Rattus norvegicus: one gene and its partner. The protein of the gene in region 2 purifies or fractionates together with the protein of the main gene of each other region. This does not show direct contact. Links are inferred from orthologs where the notes say so. Each region holds a gene or a part of one and is shown on either strand. Other genes may lie near its edges.

Region 1 (7,429 bases), on a different chromosome or scaffold from region 2:
TGTTCAAAGTGAGTCTGGACAACTTAGGGGAACCTTGTCTCAAGATATGAAAGAGACCAGATGTCAGATGTGGCGGTGTATGCCTCTAATTCCACAGCCGAAGCAGGTGGACCTCTGAGAGTTCAAGACCAACCTGGTCTATGTAGCTAATTCTTGGACAGCCATAGCTAAATATGGAGACCCTGTCTGAAGAAACAAAAATTAACCTGAAAATAGCTACAATATACCACGAATAGCTAAATGTTAATGTAAATGGCTGTCACCACAGCAACTAAGTTTTTAGTGAGCAGGTAAAGATAAAGAAGTGCTAATCTAAAGATATAACTCCATATATTTATTCACCATATTCCATATCTATTATATATAATGCTGTAATTAGGCTTTCCCTTCTCAATAAGAAAAAGGAAAATAAAAAGCATTACTGATCACAGATTATTTACCAATACACATAAAAATGAATGAAAATACACTTACTATATCCCAGTTACTCTATAGGGAACTGACTTTAATACAAATATTCAATTATTTCTTAAACTATTTTCCTTATAGTATTTTTGTCATGATTAACAAAAAATATAAACTTGAAAAGCTCTATTTCAATTATTATTTTATTTACTCATACTTCCCATGCAAAACCACTAATCCTTGTGAATCACTAAAGAAGGAAAAAATTCTTACTCTAGTTCATGTCCATACTGTTTCTTATATTGAACAAACTTTAAGAGTGGAGAAATAGTTTCCTAAAAACGATTCCATGCATTAATGATCATAAACATTGAAAAAATTAACATAAAAAACCCAGTGAACTATAGCTAAAACCAAAATAAGGGAATTATGCTGCTATTCCTCAGCTCCTACTAATTACTAAGCAAGTTTGGAGTCTGTCAAAGCCAGATATTCTGGCACTAGAGTCTGCAGTCCAGCCACTTGGGAGGCTGAGGCACACTGACTAGCCTTAGTCTGGTGGTTTGAGAACAATATGAGTTACAGCATGGCTAGCTTCAAAGAACATGCCCAGAAAAGTTCTTTTGGCTCTATTTTTCCACGATAGACTCATTTCAAATTTTAGTCCATTCCCTGCAACAGAAACCTTTTGTGCAAAAACGTTTTGTTTTTTGTCACTCTTGTAGGGCACTGTATATCTCTCCTAGAAGTTCAGGGTGTATGACTGAAGCATGTCGTTCAATTAGTGAGAACTTCTGTTGGTGGAGTGGCACATATCGGTAATCCAGCACTTAGGAAACAGACAGGAAGAAGACCATGATGAAAGCTAGGCTTGACCTCCGTTTAAAAAAAACTTATAAAGTATGTACTAACCACTGTAGACTTATGATCTACCTTGATAATACCTACGGGCTAGATTTAAACAGAAAGAGACTTCATTTTAAGTGCCCAAGGTCAGACAGTTAATGATAGGGAAGGCTAAAACCTAATCCCAGGCCTCTGTGATTGGGAAATCTATTCAGGAAAAGTTTGAGTATACTAAGTTACGCTCACTGCCATCTAGCTTTCAAACTACTCTCAAATTGATTATCTAGGCTTATCTCATTCACAATACCCTTGGGAGGAAAGTTTCTTAGTATGGAAGCCTGAGGTTTCCAGCATCGGCTGCACTTAAGAAGGCACATGACCAAAATGGAGGCACTGAATGAAGATCCTCTAACATTAGGGCTGAACCATAGGTCTTACCATTATCAGTAAGCGCGACACGCTGTGGAAACAAGGTGCTTACTGAATTAATAAAGTCCACACAGGCTCATATCTACTCTATTTAGGATTTGGAAACTTGGACTGAGAAGTTAATACTTAGTGCACAGCCTTTAGGGAACTATAATTCGTAACAATTAAGGCAGTTTAATTTCCTTTTTAATCATTCAACGCTTATTCAATAAACGACCCATCAGGGCCCTCAGTATTCTGTTTGCTTTAACAGGGCCTCTTCTATCCACTTCAGCATCCTTGTGCAGAAGATATAACAGAGACAGATTGTTCTTTAACTGCAGGGAGGTTTACTGAGGAATACCCCAGCTACCAAAAGTAGCCTATATGGAGAAGTAAAGAAATACAGAATATTGGGTATATCAGCCTAAAGGACTAATTGGCTACCGTGGCCCAAAGGAAAGGACACACGTTCACTGGTGACACCCTGCAAAGACAGGGTAATTAAGGGAGATTTCAGAGTAAGAAATAAAGGGCGTTGGGGCCCCAACCCTTAAATTCTCTCTTTCCCCCTCCTTCCCTGTCTCTCCCTTCCCCCATAGGCCTTCTCACCTATGAAACAAGGTCTTACTTTGTTGCCCTGGCTGGCCTAGAACCCACTTTGTAGACCAGGCTGGCCTTCAACTCAAAGAACTCTGCCAGACCCAGTGCAGAGATTAAAGGAGGGAGCCATTATACCCAGACCCACACAGAAATCTCATTAATATCAGAAATGCCTTCCAGCGCTCAAACCATCTGTGTGTATACAGCATCAAATTCTTCTTTAATATTTACTCTCCTTAGCTGTTTGGTTGCCAATTCCAGATTTGCTAATCCTCCCGATTTCATTAGAAGTCTAAGGTACTGCTTTCTTGAGTTCCCTAAAACTGGAGCAATTAACTGTGAAATAAAACTGCAGACTCATCCAGCCTTTCTTATGAACTTCTCCTCCACCAGGACTCAGTGCTTTCAAACTGGGTTCCTCCAGCCCAGTACACCTGCACAGAACTGGTTTGGACTTTTAAAACACGAAGGAATTCTGTTTATTTGGTGGAATGTCACATGGGCATGAAGCAGTGCCAATTTTTTTTCTCTCTCACTTTGGAGGAAAAATGATGGGTAAAATTATATTTCAGGCTGAGGAGATGACTCAGTCGTGAAAGCACATGCTTTGCACATATGAAAATCTGAGTTCAGCCTCCCAGGTGGCCATGTAAAAGTAAAGTGTGGTACTGTGCCTTTAACCTCGGTGCTCAGGGCAAAAGACAGAAGAATCCTTGGGGCTGAATGGCCAGCTAGGCTCCTGAATCAGTGAGTCAGGTTCAGTGAGAGAACCTAGCTCAAAAAAGGGGGGTTGAGGTGGGGAGAGCAACAAAGGAAGGCACCTCTGGCCTCTACGTGCAGGAACAGACACAAATAAAAATGTCAACAAGTGAATGGTTCAACCAACTGTGGTGCCATCCATACCACAGAATGATTAGCAATGCAAAGGAACAAACTATTTAAGAATCTATATTTAAGCTTGTTATAGAAACATACCTATTGTCTAGTCTGGATCACAAGCACACAATGGTAATTTGGGCAATGCAAAATCATTAAGGCAATATTTTAGTAAGAAGTAGCAAATAGGCCAGTCTTTCTATCTTGTTAAATTGTTATCAGTTTAAGGTTTTGGCTTTTAGCTTTTTAAACAAAATCTGATAAGAAAATTTGGAAGGGGATAAAAAAGAGCACCAATCACTGTAAGATAATCATTCCATCCTTTTCCTATTTTTTTTTTTCTTTCTAGTATGAGGACTGGGTGAAGAGCCTCGAGCATGCAGTGGAAGCAAGAACCATATCCCCAAGTCCTCAGCAGATATTAAAAAATAGATTCCTCAATTACATTGCATAGAACTGAGATTTAACTAAAAATCTTATTTCACATAAGAAAATGCATTCTTTAGGTTATAAAAGTCAAATCTCTGATTTTGTAAGGCCTTTGGATTCAAAGCAATGAACTTTCTAAGCTTGTAGCACAAATAAAAGAGTTTAGCCCCAAACTGAAGAACATTCCTTTGGTCAAGTGCATTGTTTGAGGTGAAAACATTGGCTACTATGGTGCATATAAAATGGAGTACAAAGGGTTGGGCAACCCTAAGCAAAACAATTTCTGTACTTTTCACAAAATATTATGCACTCAAGTCTGAGAAGGGTCACTTGAATCTCTTTAACAAATGCAGAAGTGAATTAGGAACATAAGCATTTCTTCACAGATTTAAACTGATTGGGAAGGGCATAACTTGTAGGATTTAAAAGAAATGTCAAAAAGGAATGACCCACAGTCAGTAATGTCTAGACTCTCCTTGCCTTTAAATTATAGGCAAATAGATTTGGATTAATTATGTTTTCAGCTTGATCAGTTTCCAAAGAATTACTTCCCCTTCGGGAAAACCTCGTCACTTTCCTGTAAACTAGTCTGGGTCTCCAGCCCAAAAAGGTAACACCATCTTTCATCGCCTTCCCATTCAACTGAGACTGTCGCATTACCAACACCCTGTTCTGAGGATTGTACAACCTTCTTCTCTCCGAAGAAATAAGGCCCGTTCTTACCCTTCCAGTCTCATCCAAACACTCACTAAACCTCTCCTGCAAGGATGTCGGACAAAACCCTTAGAATCACTGAGAACGCACATTTGTGGGGAAGCCCTTCAGTGTGACTGCAGTGAGGGCCATATCAGTGACATTCCCTACTAAGCCTGTCTCACCGGAGACGCCTCTGCCTACAGGGGTTTTCCTCCATTCTGATCAACCAGGCCAAGGCCTTTGCCAAGGAAGGAGCTTTGGGGAATGGGACCCGTCGTTTGCTGCAGACCCCCAAGAAATGGCTAAAACAATTCTACCACCTGAATCAGCCCCAAATGCTCTAAAGAAGGAACCATAATGGCCGCACTCGCTCTCAACACAGGGAAAGGTGGGCATCATAATCCCTCGTCGTGGACTAAGGTGAAGGGTCAGGGGTCCAGCAGATCTAGAAAAATGAGCTCCTCGCTCATGCAGGAGGACAACGCGAAAGGAGCCCCAAGCACCGCACGCCGCGGTTCACACATCCCAGTGTCTATATACTCTCACCCCACCCCGTCAATCGTTCCCACCAGCCACCAGTTACCTGTCGCACCTCACCTGCCCGGGCTCGCAATGCAGAATCTGTACCTAGACCGGACCCAGAGGCTCTGTCACTGAGAGAGGGGAAGTCTTCAGCTGCAGGAGGCGGGTCAGCCCTAGCTAGTCATGTGACCTCAAGCCCCACCCCGCTTCCCCTCCCCAGGCACGCTGCGTCTCGCAGGCTTGAACCTTTGCGGATTGCTTGGATGTGAATGGTTCCGCGATTTAGGAAAAGCGTTATTTTCTTTTTCACAATGACTGGGTTATATAAACTACAGTACAGAAAACGAGGATGGCAAGGGTTAAAGTGCATTGCTAAGGAAGTGACGCTGAGTCACGCTCTAGGGACCGGAAATGGCGATGAGTCCCGCCTCTAAAGGCCCCAGTAAAATCCTGGCTGGAAGGCATAAGCCTATCACGTGATTTCAAAAAAAAAAAAAACCTGTGAGGTTTGCCTGCTGGAGGATGGCCAAATTATCCAGACCCATCGTTACCTTTTGAATTTAAAACACATTTACTGCAAGCCTCCACAGGCTTTCTTACATTGAGAAGAATCCATTTTGTAAAACCCTATTAGGGGACAAGAGGATTTGAAGGTCACTGGAGGTCTAGAAAGTGGGTGGGGGCGGGACAGGCTGATCTTGTTGGTTTGAAAGAGAGGGAAGGGTGGAAAAATCCGGATTTTACCGCCGGAGCCTACCAAGCAAGCTCCACTGGAGTGTCGCAAAGGGTGGGTGGAGCTAGCCGACCGTAGGCCCAGCCCTGGAGAAAGAGGAGGGGGTGGAGTCCTGGCGGCGCCGAGCACTGCGGTTGCGCGCGACGCGGCGGACGCGCCGGCGCGCTGAGGGGGCGGGGTGAAAGGTCACAGCGCGGCGGCGGGTCTGGCTGGCGGCAGCTGCGGGCGGGAGCTGAGTGTCCGGAGTGCACGTGTGGAGAAGCGACGGCGGCAGCAGCGCGGCGGCGGCAGATCTCCCCGCGTCTTCTAGAGCTTCAGGGCCTGGCTTGGCTTTCGAGGCCTCGTCGTCCCCTCAGCCAAGAGGCCGGCGTGTGAGGTTGAGTGGCCTGAGCTTAGGGCGCGGAGAGCTCGGGGCGACGAGGACGACGGCGTTGGTGGCGGCTGTAACGACGGCCTCAGCAGACGGAGAAGATGAAAGGGTGAGGAAGGGCAGCGGGCGAGGGTCCGGCGGGCACCGGAGAGGGGCGTGGGTCGGTGGACTTGGGGAGCGCTGCGGGGAAGAGACTCGCGCGAAGACCTGGCGGAGGGACATTGCGAGGCTTCCCCGGTCCCTTGGCTCCCGGAGGGGGGCGGAGGCTAGGCCGGCTGTTGGCGGGCTGAAGGGCCGGCGGAGGCAAGGGCGCGAGGCCACGATTTCAACCCGGAGAACGAGTGTGCACCGAATGAGACCCCGGGGAGAAGGTGTTAGGACGCGCCCGGGGCCTCTTCCCGGGAGCGCACGACTGAGCCGCCTCAGGTGCTCATCCAAATCCGGGATCCATGCTGTGGCCGCGGGCTTTGACACGTTGCGGTTTTCTTCATACTTGTGGGCCGTGCAGAACCTTCTGGAGGGAAAAGGAATTGGAATAAAGAGCACGGAGGATGAGTGCTAGGAGCTAGTGACTCAACGGACTTGGGTTGGGTCAGAGCGAGTGGAGGAGGGAGGGAGGGGGAATGAACTCCAGCGGTGTAGACTTTGGGGTGCCAAAATGTTTAAGGAAGTATCATGGATCAGTAGGTGGAGCTATTGCTTCAGTGGTGTGTGTTGCCCCCCAGTGCAAGGAGGAGCTGCTTTTTTACTCTTCGTTAGCAAAGTTGAGGTTTAATCTTTCAAATCTTCGGTAACGCTAGAAGTTATTTTGGCTTAACTGTTCCCGTTTGGTTGAAAGTATTTCCTTTCCACTGATTTATATTACTGTTCAGTATTTAGCACCGCCAGTTTTGGAGGTTGCCTTTACAATCTTTAGAGGAAAAAGAAAGCTTAAACTTTTTGAGATAGCGTAAGGGTTTTTCTAAGTCAGCTGAAAATTATTACTAATATTTTCAGTTAAATTGTTCAGCATCGTTTTTTGGAGAGCGAAATAAATCGTCTCATTCTCTGTAAAATGAGGGACCTCATATCTGAAATGATTCTGAGAAAGTTTTGACTTTAAGTCTGCATGTAAGACATTTTTTCTAAACTCTGGTTTGCTTTAAGTTATTAATTTCAGTGGTTTTTTTGTTTTTTTGTTTTTTGTTTTTTGGGTGGTGGTGGGGGAATGTTTGCTCCATCTGAGCCACTATTCGGGATGCTTTTAGAAATTTTTAGAAATATGACTCAGTTATCTTTCGGAATTTTATTTTACTAGTAGAGTACCACTTTGATACTCTTATTTTTTTTCTACTCATTGCTACACATTTAGAACATACTTGACATGTTCCGTTATAGTAAAAACAATGAAGATAACAAGACTAAGAAATTATGCTGGAAGTTTAGGTTAAAAAATCTTGGGTCTAGTTCAGTTTCGTTAGGTATAGGATACTTGACAATAGAAATGATGCCACACAGTGGTGGTGTTGGCTGTTTATTTGAACTTTTATTTAGGGTACTAT
Region 2 (7,301 bases):
GGCCCCATACCCTCAAACCCCATGAGACGGCATGATGAAACTGCCTCACCTCTGTGGTTCCCTTCAACCACAGCTGCACAACACTCCTTTAGCAGCCCACTGCTCAGAAACCCTTTGTCAGGGTCCTAAGAAGGGTGACATCGTCTAAGCTTCTGCACATTACAGGCATCACACCTCAGGGATACCTGGCAGAAAGCCAGCTGTCCCTTACCCAAATGTTACCAGTGGCAGGGGGAGTACCACCTCAACTTACAAACACTGTTTGCCAGGTCAGCTCCACTGCCCCGGCATTCTAGTTCTTTGGGAACCTTTTCCTTGTCCTGAACTGAAGTAGGCTTCCACCCCTCCAGTCAGTCTCCAGATAACCTGTGCCCAGCTTCATGGAGAAAGCGTACAGACTCTAGGCCACCCACTTGCTCTCCTCACCTAAAGTCCCTAGCCACAGCCCTTCACCCTCTAGTCACGAGAATACCTTGTCTAACACAATCTTCTCTTTGGCTTTCTTACAGACTTCCATTCTGTCTGAGGAATTATTCACTTGGCATTTACTGACCCACTTTTGAGACATATGACAGAGCAAGAGAAAAGTGACTACATGGAAGCAGGCAGGGATTTCAGTGTGTCCTGTTCATACAGTCCCAGAGCTGAGAACAGCAGCTGACACACACTGCCGCAGATGTTTGCTGGGTTGATGAACAAATGAAGTCACACCCGGAACTACCAAATTTCCCCTCTCATCAGCACAAAGCCAAGTCCTATGTGCTGCCTAAACTTAGAACCACTAAAACCCCCTACAAGTGTCTTGTCAAAACAAAAGCTGTCTCAAAATGCTTCCCTTCGGGGGAAGAACCCTGGGACTGACTGTATAGTCCAGTCCTTTGCTTTCCTACTTTATCTTGTGCTGCCTGCCTTGTCCCCCCCAGTCTCTGCCTACACCCTGAAACAGTACACCGAACCCTGAAACCCCATTCTCCGCCCTTAATTGCCTCACTTCCCCACACCCGACACTGAGTCCCTCTTTGAAACCCCACCTAGGCCTTCATGAAGACGAGGCCCCCTGTTTTCTTTCCAATTCCTCTGACTGTTGCGTTTTCCTGCTCCACCCTTTAAAGCTATGGTGCTGGGCTTTCAATATCAGTTCTGTCTGCCTGTTTTTGTAATACATATGATACGTGTATGTCCAATCATTGATTACAAATCTATACCGTATTATAAAGCACACTCAAAACATTTTGACCTCCAGTGTTCTTCCCAATGTAATCATGATATAAACCCAAGTTTTAAAAATCTGACCATTCTTATTTAAAATAAAAGGATTAAAAATCCCCACATACATGGAAATTCTAGTACGTACTCCCAGCACTCAACTGAATCATGAGGCATACTCTCTTATTTGAAAGAGCCGAGGTCTACATCACACTCCCTGACTGAGCACACCTATCCCTAAGGGGTAAAACACCCAACAATAGCCAGCTCCTAGGTTTTTATTCCCGGTTTAGCTTTTCCCCAGCCTTAGGCCTACACACAATACTGACATTTCTTTGTAAGTCTTACTACCCCCTCAAACTCAACAGTTGGTTTGAATCTGGACTCACTAGCTTTCCAAAGACTTCTGTAGGCTCTCCTCCATTTAGTTGCTCGAATACTTCCTCTTTAAGCCTTTCTGCCATACCACAGCCAATCACCCAGTGCTTTCAGCTACTCTCTTTCTTATTATTTCCTGACCCCCCCCACACACACACACTACTACCACCATGCCCATCCCATACCAGGTTTGCTGCAGCTGGCTGCCTATGACCTTGTCAGCCTGCCCTCAGCTCCATATTTCCAAAATACAAATCCATTTATTCACCCCTCAGCTTAAATGCCTGTGCTCACTACCTAGAGTCTTGTTGGGGGAAAACCAAAATATCCCCTGGCTATCTCACTGACCTGACTTCTGAGATTCCAGCAACGCCGCTCCTCAGCTCTCACTACCCTGTGCTTACATGCACATACTGTTCTGCTTGGATTCCCCCACCTCAGCCTTCCACACCTGGGGAACATTCCTTGGGCCTCCGCCAGGCTGTGTCTAAGAGGAGCTAGCGTCTCTTCCTCAGAGACTCCACTGTCTTGTGCAGCAAGCTTCTAAGAATGACGGAATGGAACCAATCAACTTTAAGAAGGACTAGGGGCTGCTTCTGTCCTTTCAGATATCAGAGACCAAAATGAACTCCTTCCTCCTTTACAGAGTCTCTACAGATACCATGGGTTAACTCTTGGTCCTTTTCCTCCAGGCTAAATATCAGAAGTTTTTCAAATATGCCTCAGAACATGGTATTCATAGCCCAGGTTCCCTAGTTCTTTCTAGTTCCCTAACACTGTTTCAAAGTAAACAGTGAAATCTGAGCTCTTAAAGATGTTTTCCACCAAATCACACTTAGTCATTGTGGAAAATAACACTGTACCCTCACCTGACAAGAGCCAGCAGCTCAGAAGCTCAGGCTGTTGTATGAACTAAACCATTTTAGCAAGGATAGCATTTCCAAACCACATAGAGAAATAATTATTTTACCTTAGACAAAAAAACAAACCTCACGGACTCAAAATGTCATAGAGCTGAACACAGTGGTGCTCAGAAGGCAGAGACAGGCGGGTCTCTCTGAGGTCAGAGCCAGCTAGGACTTAATAAGATGTCAGATAGGATATTAAAACAGGGAATTCAACAGATGTCCAGCTAAACTACAGTGTCAATGGAAAGGTTTTGTTTTTAACTTTTAAACCCAGTTAAAACAAAAGAATTATCCCAAAGTGTGTGTGTGTGTGTGTGTGTGTGTGTGTGTGTGTGTGTGTGTGTGTGTTACGTACATACACATGGATGTACATGCAAGCATGTGGAGTCGGAGGTCAACCTCCAGTGTCTTTCCTCAGGAACTGTCCACCCTATCTCTCATTGGGAAACGAAGCTCATCTATTAGACTACAATGGCCAGCAAAGAACTTGTACAGATGCACCCGTCTCTACCTCCCCAGCCCAGAGTCTAAGCCTGCACGGCTATACCTAGTTATTTATATGGGTGCTGGGGTTCAAAGTCGTGTCATCATGCTTTTGTGACCAGCACTTACCAAGTACCTTGAAAAATCCCCAAAGTATCTTGATTAAATCAGAATGGCCTTTCCAGAGCCAACAACAACAATGAAAAAGACCCTAACACTTTGGAGGCCTGAATTTATATTATATGTAACTATTAACACAGAGGGCTGGGCACCTCCAGGGCAGAGAAGAGCTTTGGTGTTCAAAACCATCACTAGGTCTTTTTCACTTCAACTGCTATCCCAAAAGTAGGGCCTCTCAGCATCTCAGGCAGCATGGGCACTAGGTATCCCCTTGACACAAAGCACCCATTCCTCCAAGTTTTTCTCCACTTGAAGTTTTTCTTGAGACAGAGTTTCTCTGTGTAGTCCTGGCTGTCCTGGGACTCACTCTGTAGACCAGGCTAGCCTTAAACTCAGAAATCCACGTGCCTCTGCCTCCAGGGTGCTGGGATTAAAAGTATGCGCCGCCATGCCTGGCTTCACTTGACTTCTTGTATCCTATTGTCTGCAACCCCAGTCTCTGTCCCACTATTTTCATGTTGCCACAGAGCATTCCCTGTGCCATACACGTATAGTGGAAAGACATCCTCTACTTGGAAGTCATCTGATCTGCCTTCAAATCCAGCTTTGATACATATTAACCTTGTCATGCCGCCCTTGATTTATATTCTGCAAAATGAGGAGACTTTCTTCAAAGGATTACTGTAAAATGAAATGCATTACTACATGATACTCAAGCCACAGGCCAAATATAAGCTCATTACCACTCTTCTTATTCCACGTTGGAGAACATAGGTTCCACTCAGAAAGCTACCATTTATTTGACATGTGACTCTAAAAGCATGACTCATACCCTACCCTCCCTTTAAATTGGGAACTGAAATCAATATTAAGAAACTGTCTGCGTTAATCTTAAGACATAATCATTATATATATATTAAAAAAAAAAAAACACGAAGACTCAACTCCGCATCCTGATCTGTATATACACGAGGGAGGTAAGGTTTCATCCGCTGTTAATAACAACCATTAGAAATGAAGGTGGAAAAAAGACGGCAGCAGGCGGCAGCTAAATCGTTAGTTAACCTTCCCTTCTTGGTAGTGGATCGTGGCTGAACGCTGTATTGAGAAATGCAAACCCTTCCTCCAAAGGGCCTCGAACAGGGAAGGAGTGATCCGGCAAATTGGGAGACAGGGTTCCAACCAGCGACGCGCATTTCCCCGAAAGGCTGATGCCAGCTCCAGAGTCCCCAAGGTGGCCCTGCCCGGCTCCAGAGACCACAAGGCCGCTCCGCCCGAGCCAGATCAAGGTCCAGAACCCCAAAGAGGGCGCCAAACCCAGACCGCCCCCACTGCGGCCCCCGCCAGCAGCCGCTCCCGCCCAGGGTCCCCGCGCCCCCTAGCCTCTCGCAGTGCTTCCTGGCTACTCACTCGACACCAGAGAAGAGAGGAGAACGACAAGCACAGCCATGGTGCCACGGCTGCTAAAGCGGAGATGAGCCACACGAAAAGGGACGCCGGGACTCGAGCGAGCACCGCAGTCAGACCGAGTGACGCGCTCCCGAAGGTTCCGATCCCCAAGTCCCTCCCCTTTAGACTCTCCAAGACAAGGTCTCGGCCAATCGCCAACTACGCCGCTACAGGAGAGAGACGTAGCCTGGGTGACGTTCGCAATTGGGGCGGGGACTAACGTGATGAGTGGCATGCTCTGCCAATAGGAGTCAAAGGTTTTAAGAGCAGGGCGGTTCTGTGCTGCCGGCCCACAATGACCGGTCACGAGATGAAGGGTAGGGCCGGCGGTTAGAGCAGGTACCCCCCTTCGGTTGCAGGTTCTCGAAAGCCCACAGTGAAGCTTACTCCCAGGTGTGGATCCTTTTTCCAACCTTCGGTGACGATTTTCAACATGGGCATCAGTCTTTCCCGATCTTGCACCTCCCTCCCGCTGCGACTGACAGCTGTGGAAAGCGCTGGGCTAGCTCAGGTTTTGCTCTCCGGAGTACACAGACATTGAGTACCTGCGGAAAGGAAGCCTGGCGCCTGGGGGAACCCCTGCCCGCCTAGTAGACGTGCTACTTAAAATATAGGGCTCCCGCTTGAATCTGAGTTCTAAAGAGTAATTTTTAGTGTCTGAAATATTTATTTTATTTATTTTTATATATACGAAGTATCCATTGTCTGAGGGTCAAATATAACTGGGTATCCTGTTTTTCGATTTACTGTATTGAACAACCCTGCTTCCAAATACTACATACGCAAGGAGTGATCCGATAGAATATTATTTCATTCGATCCTCCCTTGGTTTCTAATCCGATTCAGGGAGGCTATGTGATGGCTAGACACACTAATTAGACCAAAATCACCCCTTGGCTCATAGGCTCTTACCTATGATGTGAGGCAAAAAGTGGGCACATAATCTGTGGTTAGAAAACAACTCCCCAGCTGATGACCTTGAAAGATGAATATGATTTTAATATGTAAGTGGAGGATGTGAAAAGATCCAGGTAAGGAAAAAGGGTAGCGTATATGGTAGGGAAAATACCTTCTTTGGTGAACGTTTAACTATTTACTTTGACAAAAGAGATTTTATAGAGTAGGAGGACAGAACTAAAATTTTAGTTTGTTCCTTCCTTTCTTTCTTTTTTGGGGATGGAACCCCAGAGCTATGCATAACCTAGGCAAGGGCTCTCCCACTGAGCCTTACCTCAACTAGGAAAATGTTTTTATTTTTTATGATCGTGACTTGTATGCAGAACTACAATTCATTGAATACAAGTGGAGGAGGTGGTTGAATGTTGTTCAGTGCACAGATGTAAGATAGATTCGGTTGAGTGGAAATGGCTCACTGACCCTCAGTTTAGCGGCTCTGTTTTATCCTTGGAATCGACTGAGGGAGAACAAAGGGGCTGCAGCAGCTCCAGGAGTTGGGTGAAACTTAGCCAGCCCAAGAGCTGGAACCAAAAGCCCCCCACCCCTACCCCCACTATTTAGAATGCAGTTTCTAGAAACTACTATGTTTACCAAAGCCACTCTCAATTTATAATGCAGTCTGGACTTCCAAACTTAACTTCAGAATGCTCTTAACTCTCAATTTTGAGTTTTTGTTCAACAGAGAATTTGCACACATGTGTCTTTAAAGGACTATGAAGGGGGTTTGTCTTTCTATTTGGAATGTAAAATTATTATATTAGAACCAAAAAGTCTAAAGCAGATAATTTCAAAAGCACAGCTGTGCTGTGAACATTAAAAAAATAATTTAAAAATCATTTTTCAAGGGCCAAGGAGTTGGCTCAACTGGTGAAGGCACGAGCTGTGTAAAACTAAATTAGATTCCTAAACCAATCTGGATTTGGTGATGTGCATCCCAGTATTCCTGTGTTGAAATGGGAGGCAGAGATGAGAGAATGATTTGGAAGTTCCAGGGCCAGTTAGCCTGGAGTATACAACATAGCATCAGAAACAAGAGAGACCCTGCCCCAACAACCCCTGAAACTTGTCATCTCTGTCTCTGTCTCTGTCTCTGTCTCTCTCTCTCTCACACACACACACACACACACACAGGGGGAGAGAGAGAGAGAGAGAGAGAGAGAGAGAGAGAGAGAGAACACAAAATAAGTAGATAAAAGAGAATTTAACATAAAGTCCCTTCTGTGCACAGCAGCTAAAATTCATTCTGGTCCATCTTGCTGCATGTTGGAGAACAGGTTAGAGCCAGCAGCCCTGCAAGAGTGTGTCTAAATGATCTCATTTAGGGATGGCCGAGCTCCCACAAATTCAACCAAAAGAAACATACAGCCTTTTCTGCTCTTAAAAGAATCCTAGGACATCCTGATTTATTTTAATTTGAGAAATAGCAAAAAAAAAAAAACCACTATAAGCAGGTTAGAATACAAAATAACACTCTCATATGTCAAATTCACGAATTCTCTGTCCTGAGAAATACCTTTTTTGGTTTTTTTTGACTTGTGAGTCTTTTACATCAAAGGCTTCTTTTCAGCTGAGGTATCAAAGAGGCATTAGCATTCAGCGGGATAAACACTGTTCTAGCAAGCCTTCTCTTTGTGGCATAGATGGAGATGCTGAAACCTAGGGAGAGCAAAGGTCCTGGAGGGCACATAGACTCATCAGCAGTTCTGCTTTCTGAACACAGCCCTCAGGTTCAATCTTTAGTGAAGAGCATACGGGTAACTTTTCCATGGACGCAGTTAGAGGTGGAAATGTGGCAGGACA

The links. The genes of interacting proteins can lie anywhere in the genome.
Region 1: the proteins of Atp6ap2 (region 2) and Atp6v1a purify together in Homo sapiens (co-immunoprecipitation; 3 studies listed by BioGRID and IntAct, with this or other methods). This does not show direct contact. The link is inferred for Rattus norvegicus from reciprocal best matches to the Homo sapiens genes ATP6AP2 and ATP6V1A.

The regions. Positions count from the first base shown.
Region 1 is NC_086029.1:70,065,024-70,072,452, reverse strand, and holds the start of Atp6v1a (V-type proton ATPase catalytic subunit A), read right to left. Parts: upstream 4,952-7,429; 5' UTR 4,861-4,951; exon of another isoform or gene 4,847-4,860; intron 3,580-4,846; exon of another isoform or gene 1-3,579. Other genes in the region: Naa50 (N-alpha-acetyltransferase 50), read left to right, coding at 5,990-5,997. UniProt on the Homo sapiens protein: Catalytic subunit of the V1 complex of vacuolar(H+)-ATPase (V-ATPase), a multisubunit enzyme composed of a peripheral complex (V1) that hydrolyzes ATP and a membrane integral complex (V0) that translocates protons.
Region 2 is NC_086039.1:12,879,041-12,886,341, forward strand, and holds the start of Atp6ap2 (renin receptor precursor), read right to left. Parts: upstream 4,631-7,301; 5' UTR 4,546-4,630; coding exon 4,506-4,545; intron 1-4,505. UniProt on the Homo sapiens protein: Multifunctional protein which functions as a renin, prorenin cellular receptor and is involved in the assembly of the lysosomal proton-transporting V-type ATPase (V-ATPase) and the acidification of the endo-lysosomal system.